3 linked regions of the Coturnix japonica genome follow. The protein of the gene in region 3 purifies or fractionates together with the protein of the main gene of each other region. This does not show direct contact. Links are inferred from orthologs where the notes say so. Each region holds a gene or a part of one and is shown on either strand. Other genes may lie near its edges. The genes, in order: CASK, LIN7C and ARHGEF26.

Region 1 (2,580 bases), on a different chromosome or scaffold from region 3:
GCTGACCCTGTAATGGCTGACCCTTCTCAATTGTGAACCGTGGAATTGGGTCTTCAGTACAAGACGCTAAGAGATGCCAGAAGTGATATAGGAAATACTGAAATAGGAACTGCTGGGCAACATGGAGTGAGAACTTCCTCATCGGCAAAGGGTGGTTAAAGAAAGTAAACCCCAGAAGACTGATGTTGAACAGTGAATTGTTACCAAAACTGGGAACAGCTGATATTTAACAAAATACCCTATCCTGTTTCTTGTTCTCTTCCCTGGACATAGGCCACGTAGCTTGAATTTGTGCACTTTGTTTGTTTAACTCACGTATGGTCTTTTTAGTTCCATGTCTGTGCTGCTTTTATTAGCTTTCATCCTTGCCTTTTTAGTTCTAGACTTGTCTTTTGTCTCACGTAACGTCAGTAAATGACTTGTATTTGAATGTCAGCTTCAAGACAGAAACTGTGTAATTTCTTCCTTGTAATTTCTAGGGAATTAGGCAGGGTCTCTAGACCACTTAAGCTTTTTTTGCCTGCTTTCTTCTCTGTAAGCAACAGCTAGAAAGCTGCCATAGAAGTAAAGGAAACGATCCAACTTACCTCTCCCATTTCCTTTTCTCATCATTGACTAGGATGAATCTCTTCAGCGCCTGCAAAAGGAGTCTGAAATCTTACAGAGAACATATGCACACTACTTTGACCTAACAATTATCAACAATGAAATCGATGAAACAATCAGGCACCTGGAGGAAGCCATTGAGCTCGTTTGTACAGCGTCGCAGTGGGTGCCAGTCTCCTGGGTCTATTAGGCCGCTCGCGAGATCATTGAAAAAGCCTGGCGTTACTGGGAACCACCTCATACATGGGAAACCTCTTCGTTATTGACCTTGTGTCAGCAGGTCTTGGCCCCTAGAGACTACCTAGATGTAGTGTGACCTAAATTTATAATTATTGTCATGTCCTAATAGATAAGAGGAGGGGGAAAAAAAAATTAAACACTAATTTAAAGAGACAGTATCTTTTTTTTTTTTTTTTTAATCATTTCTCCTAAAATTTAATAAAGTGTATCTTTAAATGTATGTATTATTCAGTCCTTTGGAATGTTATATTTTTGGAAATAATAGCTTTTTATTTCAAGGGCCCCTAAAAACTGCACAAAATAGATGCTGCTTTCTATAATCTATTTTAATAGTAATAATAATATGATTCTGTTACCTTAACTTGGGGGTGGAACACTACATTCTTTTTAGAGTCTGATTTTATGGATCGGAATACTTTCCTTTATTTATTTGAAATAATCAGTCTAGCGGTTACCAAACAAATTCATCAATCTTAAAGGCCTTTCTTCGCTCTTTTTTTGTTGTTGTTGTTGTTTGTTTGTTTGTTTTTTAGGGTAGCGTTTTTAAATACTTTTGTGTAACATCCAGATAATGTGATACTGTCTCTTTGAAGAACTCTGTAAAACTTCTTTTAGAAATCTGAAATTGGGTCTTGACTCTTAATGCATGTGGACAGTCGCAAGCGTTCATGCCGTTGGTGTATCTGTGTTGAAAAAAAAACTGTAATCTACAGCAAAGTACATTCCGTTCATGGGAAAACGTACCCAAGGGAATAAAGTGAAATATTATTCTGACTTAAGTTGTAAACCTATGCACATCCCTTGCATTTTGGGCAACTTTATACAAAAAAAAAAGGAAAAAAAAAAAAGAAAAACCGATTTTTATTAATAATAATCATGTAGTGAAATGTGTTTGTAATTTTGTCTCAATTTAATTTGTTGTAAGGTGGGAGGGGGCAATTACTGGTTTCACCATTTCAGATCTGTGTCGTCTGAGAGTATTAACGTTTTAATTAAGTTTAAGCAAAGAAATGCTGATTTTTAATATGTATGTAATTGTTTAAAAATGCACACATTTTAAAAGAAAATACTGTGCAATGAAGAAACCAGTTTAGGCATTGCGATAAACTTGACTATTCCAAAAGACTCATCGAAAACAGCCCTGTAAATTCCTTCAAAATGGTAATTGACGCTACAGTCTGACCAAGTTTTTTTATTTTAAATATACTTCCTTTTATGTGTTCAACAACCAAATGTTTTTGGGTCCTTCATTTCATCGCAGGGAGTTCCAAGAACAAATCAGTGCTTCTTGCAGCGAGAAGAGATTTCTTGACGTCTGTTCAGTGAAGGCCGTGGCGGAGAAGCTCAGGGGCTCTGCTGGGCCTTTCCAAGCACAGCTTAGAATCAGAGCAGAGCCAAGGAAGAAAAAGTAATTAAATGTGCCAACCTTATGTTTTGTTTCCTTTCTTCATGCCCTCACTGGCCCAGATGGTTTATGTTTTTCCTGCAAATACATAACAGAAGCAAGCATTACAGCTTCTTTCTAGATGTCAGAAGTGTTCCTTAGCACGGTTTGTGTTAAAAGCTCTGTTGGCTGCGCTGTTTTATAGTATGAAGTTCAGCATTTACGTGTTCTCAAATGATTTGTCCTTAAGTTGAACTGTGAGCCATAATTATCCGTAGGCTGGTTCAGTTGTGTGGGACCACATTTCCTGTAATCAGAATTTTTCTGTCATCAGAAAATATTCTCACTTT
Region 2 (3,656 bases), on a different chromosome or scaffold from region 3:
ATTCAATGCCAAATGTGTGTTGGGAAATCAAAAGCATTTTTTTCATTCTGTAATTTTTGTACAGATTGCAAGTATGCAGCAAACACAGCAGACTTGGAGTTAGCAATAGCCGGGGTTTCAAATGTGATGCGTATTTGCTTAGATACCTGATCCTCTTAACAAATTGAAAATGCTTCCTAAATAGTGAGGATGAACTTGAGCTCTCATCTGAAGCAATGCGTGCGACTGCAACTGTAATATTCGGGTGCTGTTCCATGAGTGATTTACATCCTGTCTGTGATACAAACACAGCTTTAACTGTGCTGGTGGATGACCAGTTCAAGAAGTTACATCATACCATCTTTAAATGACTCTAGCGGCTGCTATGAGTGTCTGCGAGATATCTAACTGATGCCTTACAGAAGTGGGCAGCATGAACTGTGGGTTGTCTTCTGTCAGTGCACCTCAATTTCGGAGTGTAACAAGATAGACATTGGTCTTGAAGTTTGTGGTGGCTGCTTGTCTATTTAGTGGCATTACAGCAGCACAGAAGATGTTCCACGTGAAAAATGATTCCCTGAAGGTTAATTATGGAAAAGAGGAAGTAATGTATTTAGGACATAATCATGCTCCAGACTTCATCTTCTAGAATGATCTATGCCTTATTTATGCGGTAGATTAATCACTGCTTCTGTCTGCCTTTCTGATAACGAAGATCATAATGTCTACCTGCTTTTCTGAGAGACTGTTCTACTGCTATTCATGGACTTAACGTGATTCAGAAGAATGGTCACTCTAGAAATGTAAGTGAGGAATATTAATCCTTGCTACTCTTGAAGAGCTGCCTGCAGAACGCCGCATAGCTTTGATGCCATGTTTGATGCCCATCTTGCTCGGTACTGGTCTGAAATCAAATTCTTCAGATGAAATTTTGGTTTCACTGATAGTTTTGGTCTTTCAGGACATGTCAAGAAATGAGGAAAAAATGTTGAGTTTGGGGATCTTTACTACAGAACACTCAGCAGAGATCGTGGAGGAATTTGGGTTCTTTTTCCTAGCGCTTTGATACATCAGGCACATTGTAGGTGGAGGAAGTAAGAAAGTATTTTCAAACTGCTATGAGGTTTAATCAAGTTTTTACCATTCCAGCTGCTGTTTGGCATCCAATTAATATAATTACAGACTACTCATGCCCAAGTCAGCCTTTTTTGTAGGGAAAACATTGGGTGTATTTCTGGTAAACTAGTTTTTGAATGTAAAAGGTATGTTAGTTTGCTTGGTGATACTATAGATTGCTTTGACAAAATGATAGCCATACATTACATAAATTACGGAGTTTTATGCATACAAAACAGTGCTACCGCATTAACTTTGTTTAAAAAGCAAAAGCAAACAAAGCCACCAGTAGGATCTTTTCAGGCATTGCTCATAATGAACACTTCATTTTTGTTTTTTTCTGTAGATATCTGCAGAGCAATTGAATTGCTGGAAAAATTACAGAGAAGTGGAGAAGTGCCACCGCAGAAACTACAGGCTTTGCAAAGGGTCCTTCAGAGTGAATTCTGTAATGCTGTAAGGGAGGTAAGTTAACTGTGTAAGCAATTAGCTTGCATTAAAAGTGGTACCTTGAAAAGTGGAAGTGTTAATGCACTGAACTTCAAAAAACTGAATTTGACTTATGGAGCTTTATAGAAGACGGCTTATTTTTTACAAGTTGAGAAGAAAACAGTTTAGGGGTACTATAGGTGTGTTGTATTAAACAGTATCTGATAAACAAATTACTTCTTGGAGGTTATTTGGAGGTTATCTAGCTGCCTTGCTGGCAGGTAGTGCCCTGTTATCCTGTTGGCTGGTAAGAACGGGCAAAGTATAAATTGCCTTTTCTTTTAAGCTAGATTGGCATCATAGCTTTGCACACCTCATCTTCGTTCCTGATGCTCTTTCAGTAATTTGAGATGATTGAATGCATCCTCCTGTTGGTGGCGGTGATGGTGCTACCACTGCTGATAACACCTGCAACAATTTGCAAGATCTGTTTGTGGACGTGGAAGTCCTCTTGATGTTTTCATCTTATGAAGGACTGCGTTTGTTGTGTTAGCTACCACTAACCCAGTTAGCATTAGTATTCTTATGGCCTTTGTGTTTTCAATAGCCTTTATTTTCATTATGTATTCAGTTGGTTGCATCAGGTGAAGGGAAATACAGATTTGATTGTTGGGTGAGCTTTGAAGATCCACCCTTGCATAATTTTTCATGCACCCTTATGGAAAAGTCCAATTAAATCAAATATGAGAAGTTAGTCACCCACATCTGCTGTCAGATGTTGTGGTGAGGTCTGTATACTTACTGAGTGAGAGGATTTGGGTTGAGACCTAGAATGTGTGTGGCTTATCTGAGCAGTAAAGATATTGAGAGAGTTGTTTCTTCATAGTATGGTAGATACTTTACTTGGCACCTTGCAGTGAATCAGGGAGTCATTTGCTAAAGGTGTTTGGTTTGGTTTTTTTCATGTATGCAGTTTTAAGTTGTAACTGATTGTTATGTTACCTAAGCAGAAAAATAACTCTTTTCACCGTGCTTAAGTTGTCTTATCTTTAAAGGTGTACGAACACGTATATGAAACTGTGGATATCAGCAGTAGCCCAGAAGTGAGAGCTAATGCAACAGCGAAGGTAAACGCCAAACTTGAGTAAAATGTGTTAATTTGTTACTTTAGAAGCAGAGGAAAGGTATTTAAAATCCAGAAATGTATTATCTAGATGTTTGGTCAAATAGATAAACATATGAGGTCATTAAAAGGGATAACAAAAGACATTTTTTAAAAGTTTTTTCCACTTATATTGTCTTCGTTGAGTTCTAATTTTTTTTTTAATCCCGATGTTGTTTAAGAAATTGATCTGATTATTCTTAATATTTTAGCACTTTAAGATGAAACTAATTTTTCAGCCTGCTCACTGTGTCAAGCTGAGGAGTTTGTAGTCGTGTAAATAGCAAGATCTTATTTTTTACAGGCCACTGTAGCTGCATTTGCTGCTAGTGAAGGTCATTCGCATCCCAGAGTGGTTGAACTGCCAAAAACCGAAGAAGGTCTTGGATTCAACATCATGGGAGGCAAAGAACAAAATTCTCCCATCTATATCTCCCGAATTATCCCTGGTGGTATAGCTGATAGGCACGGAGGCCTGAAACGTGGAGACCAGCTCCTTTCTGTAAACGGAGTGGTAGGAATTTTTTCACTTTCTATAGCAGTAACTACTTGTCTCCACTTGGGGGCATACGTAGAATATTCGTGGCACAAGCTTGAGGTTGTCTTTCGATCCTAGCAAAACTGCTTCTTATTGTCCTCTCAAGAACATCTTCCTTAGGTTTCTGAACCTAGTTCTGTGCAGTGAGAGTTCTTGGATTATGCTTTGGTTACATTTTTCAACTGGGATGGGTACTATTTATGTCAACGTTTCAAATTCTGAAAAGTTGTATAAATCTGGTAGGTCTTGTTCTGAAATAGTATTGAACTACCATTATGGCTTCCTGTTTTATCCAATTTGATGATGCAGGTTTTAACTTAGTTTTCTGCAGCTTCAAAGGTAAGTAGTAAATTATAATGCATGATGGTAGACTGAGCAGGGGCTCTTTGTCATTATCCCAGTAGGAGCACTACTGCTTAATGAAAGCTGTAG
Region 3 (3,656 bases):
TCCATTGTGTTTGATTCCTGGGTGATCCCACTGCCTGTACCAGGTACGGGGCTGTAAGTACTGACAGCTCGGCTTAGCATGAAGCGCAGAAGCGTTTATTTGGTTGTGCAGTGGAAAATTAAATACTTATTTAATACTTACTGAAGTCCAATCAAAAAGGATCTGCAGTAGAATTGCTTCTGAAACCAAGAAGAAACCTGGCACAGAAGTTTCACAGGCTGTTAGGATAAAAATTAATTAATTAGTATCATTTCATGCATCCGTATGTCCATGGTGTTCTCTCATTTAGCACATTTGTCCATAAGTTCCCTGGTGGTGCTTCAGCTCTTTGATTACCATTAATTGCTATGCAAATGTCTCTATTTGCTACAGTTGGTGCTTTTTAGTTCTCTGAAGTAGTGGATGTTTTCTTTCAGACAATTTGTCAGAAAACTCCTAAAGATTCACCAAAATATGAGAACTGCAAGCAGGCCCTGAAAGAAGTAAGCAAGGTATGTCTGGAAATACAAGACTTTCAAGCAGAGCATTGTGGTATGAAAAGAAAAGGAGGAATCTCAGGGTTGTCAGTTTTTTGCCTTCAAGATCTCAGTTTGAGAAAGCATAACACATCACAGACTGTTATTAAGTGTGATGTATTGAGCATCATTAGAAACTAAGAATAATTGAAAGGGAACTTCCTCTCCCTGTGAGGGCTGGATGTGGCCGTGGGCGCTGAACGTTGCTGTGTAAGGGAGAGCAGTGAAGGATATAAAAACTTTGAACTGTCTTAATTGAAATCAATCCACAGTGGCCTTTCTCTTGGCTAAATTACTGTCTTTTTCTTACTTAAGAAGATATCCTGCACTCGGGAACACTGTGCTGTTGCCAACACAATTATTTTTTTCCATAGGAACAGTAAATGGTTTGTGAAGTGTTTGATTTTAAAAGGAGACAAGGCTTATTAACTGTGGGAAGACCTGCATGATATTTATGGAGTTGAAGGGAATGTGATTTGATGCCCTTCTGACTGCACCTGTGAGCACACATGACTCTTCTCCCATGTGCAGGCTTCAGTAAGGCTATGGTGTGTGCTTTGAGATTGTGTTCTAAATGTCAGCCACGATGAAACCATCCCTGGGGTAGTTTCATAGAGTCAGAGAATGGCTTGGGTGGAAAAGGACCTTAAGGATCAACTGATTTCAGTGCCTCTGCTGTGGGCAGGGTTGCCAATCCCTAGACCAGTTTGCCTGAGTTTAACAAGGTGGCACTGGAGTATTTGTACTGTGACTTTCGTCTATGAAAGAGTTGCATGTGTGTGCAGCACCGATTGTCAGGCTGGAAAGATGGCTTCTGTGGGGCAGGGCACTCATTTGGATCAGTGAGTAAGAGAAGTAGTAATTATAGTATTATTAGTGTGGGTTGAAAGGGGCATCGGGAGGTCGTCCAGTCCAGCCCCAGAGCAGAACCATCTCTCAGCTCTGACCAGGTCACTCCGTGGTGCATTCAGCCTGGTGCTGAAAGCACTGTGACCATCCCTGAATGTGAAAATGTCAGATCCTTTGTAAACACTTCACGGAAGTGCACTGTGTGAAGGAACAGGGGTTACTGGTATCACACATGGTGGGGACGTGAAATACACTCGGTAAATGTCTTGTTTTTCAGTTGGTGCGTTTGTGCAACGAAGGTGCTCGAAAAATGGAAAGGACAGAAATGTTGTACACAATTAACTCCCAGCTGGAATTTAAAATCAAGGTATGATTAAATCAAGGAACAAAAACCATTTACCATAGGAGGAGCTTTGACTGCATGTTCTTATGATAGCTTCATTGCCAGCACAAAGTAAACTGGGGCAAAGTAAACCTGATGCAACTTCTCAGTTAATGGGAAGTCAAATTCATATTCTAAGGTAGCTGAAGCTTTGGAAACTTGAAGAGTAACTGAGGACTGCTGCTCCTTTAGCGAGGTCTGTTAAGCTTCAAGGTGAGACTTTTAAGGAAATAGGGTATGAGAACATGCTTTTTTAAAATAATGAAGTAGCATTAATTACTGAAGAATGAATGCCCAGACTCTGGGTTTAGCTCTGTGGATGGAAGTGTGTTTAAGTGGTCAGTCTTGTTCTGGGTAAGTCCTGTCTCCAGAAGGATATTTCTCAAGTTGTCCAAAGTATTTACATACTAAAAATGAGAATAACATTTACTTAACAAGAATAAAGGAAACATCTCCTAAGTGACACCACAGCATCTGCTAACACTGGTGGATAATAGTCTCAGGTAGTTGCATAACTGAAAATAGAGTTTTAAATAGTTTGACTGCATTGTGTCATTGGCTTCCCACATTCCTTCCCAGTTTTCTGACCTGCAGAAGAACGTGGCAGGTTTTAAATGCCTTTAAATTGTTTTTCTGCTGGCAGGGGTTGGGATATGGATCTGACCTTGCAGGAGCTATAGGCCCTGTGTGATCCTTGCAGTGTGCTTGCTGGGACTGGCAGCTCTTGCTGATTTCATGACAATAACAGAACTTTATCTTCTTTTTCTGTATTCTTTATGCAAGTTTTTTTTCCCTCCGTGCCTCTTAAATGCAACCACTGAGTGGTTTAGACTTCTTTTGTTGGAGCAGGTGCCAGCTGGAATGCTTGCCGGATTGTTTTGGCCAAGTTTCAGCACATTTTAAGTTCTGATGGCTTATTTTACATAGAAAGGAGGTGAAATATGCATTGTAGTCTTTTGGCAATTAAGGGAAAATTAATATTAAAGTAAACACAGGATGCCTCTGGAATACAGTCAGCCAGGAAAATCTGATGAACTCATTTGGAATAGAGATTAGAGGGCTTTTTTAGTTCATACTCTAGAAATCTTCAGAGTAGCTTTTATCTGAAGAACAATGATGATGATTCCGTTCTATAACCATTATAAACCAGGTGGACTATTTCTGTTCTTTTCTCATGAAGCATTTTGTAATTCTCACTTTCTTTGGTGTGACTGTAGAGCATTACATAGGAGTACGAGAGAAGCTGCTAAAACCCACATCACTTCTGTACATGGCTGAGGATACAAATCAGCCTGAGGCAAGACTGAAGTTGAAGGCTTCTTTAATTTGTAATGATTTGTAAGGGTTCCAAAGGACTGCTGCACTGCTGGTCTAACTGAGGGCTGCTGGAGGAGCCCTCTGCACTGTGAGGAGCTGAGTGCCATGGGCAGCCCAGCAGGCAGGGACAGCCAGCCATAATTGCGTCCTGTCCATGTCCGTGTTCACTGTGTGAGGGAAGGAGCTGCTGCCAGTGCTGAACAAGCAGTTCTCCTCTTCTTAGGGCATCAGTTCCACCCTGAAGTGCGAGCAGTCAAATCTGCTCATTTTTACCCTAGATGAGCAATTAGGTCATGAATATGAGACTTCTCAAGTATTTGCAGGCTGTTACTTGTGGACTGTGTGGATGATAAAGATGCTTTAGAACTCCTAATTTCTGTGCTTTGAGTTTTTTCAAGTGGGTTTTGTTTTTCCAAATATTTAAGACTGTTACCTGATCTTGAAAAAGGAGGGGAAATAAGCTACTTTTAAAGGATTGAAATGTTATTTTCTTGTTTTTTAGCCATTTCCTTTGGTTTCTTCTTCGCGGTGGTTGGTGAAAAGGGGCGAGTTAACAGCGTATGTAGAAGACACGGGACTTTTCTCCAAAAGGA

What was found.
Region 1: the proteins of ARHGEF26 (region 3) and CASK purify together in Homo sapiens (affinity purification with mass spectrometry; 3 studies listed by BioGRID and IntAct, with this or other methods). This does not show direct contact. The link is inferred for Coturnix japonica from reciprocal best matches to the Homo sapiens genes ARHGEF26 and CASK.
Region 2: the proteins of ARHGEF26 (region 3) and LIN7C purify together in Homo sapiens (affinity purification with mass spectrometry; 3 studies listed by BioGRID and IntAct, counting the BioPlex papers as one, with this or other methods). This does not show direct contact. The link is inferred for Coturnix japonica from reciprocal best matches to the Homo sapiens genes ARHGEF26 and LIN7C.

Annotation. Positions count from the first base shown.
Region 1 is NC_029516.1:100,936,024-100,938,603, forward strand, and holds the end of CASK (peripheral plasma membrane protein CASK), read left to right. Parts: intron 1-619; coding exon 620-796; 3' UTR 797-2,074; downstream 2,075-2,580. UniProt on the Homo sapiens protein: Multidomain scaffolding Mg(2+)-independent protein kinase that catalyzes the phosphotransfer from ATP to proteins such as NRXN1, and plays a role in synaptic transmembrane protein anchoring and ion channel trafficking.
Region 2 is NC_029520.1:3,029,708-3,033,363, reverse strand, and holds part of LIN7C (protein lin-7 homolog C), read left to right. Parts: intron 1-1,441; coding exon 1,442-1,560; intron 1,561-2,579; coding exon 2,580-2,651; intron 2,652-2,990; coding exon 2,991-3,200; intron 3,201-3,656. UniProt on the Homo sapiens protein: Plays a role in establishing and maintaining the asymmetric distribution of channels and receptors at the plasma membrane of polarized cells.
Region 3 is NC_029524.1:20,648,599-20,652,254, reverse strand, and holds part of ARHGEF26 (rho guanine nucleotide exchange factor 26), read left to right. Parts: intron 1-416; coding exon 417-491; intron 492-1,641; coding exon 1,642-1,731; intron 1,732-3,565; coding exon 3,566-3,656. UniProt on the Homo sapiens protein: Activates RhoG GTPase by promoting the exchange of GDP by GTP. Required for the formation of membrane ruffles during macropinocytosis. Required for the formation of cup-like structures during trans-endothelial migration of leukocytes.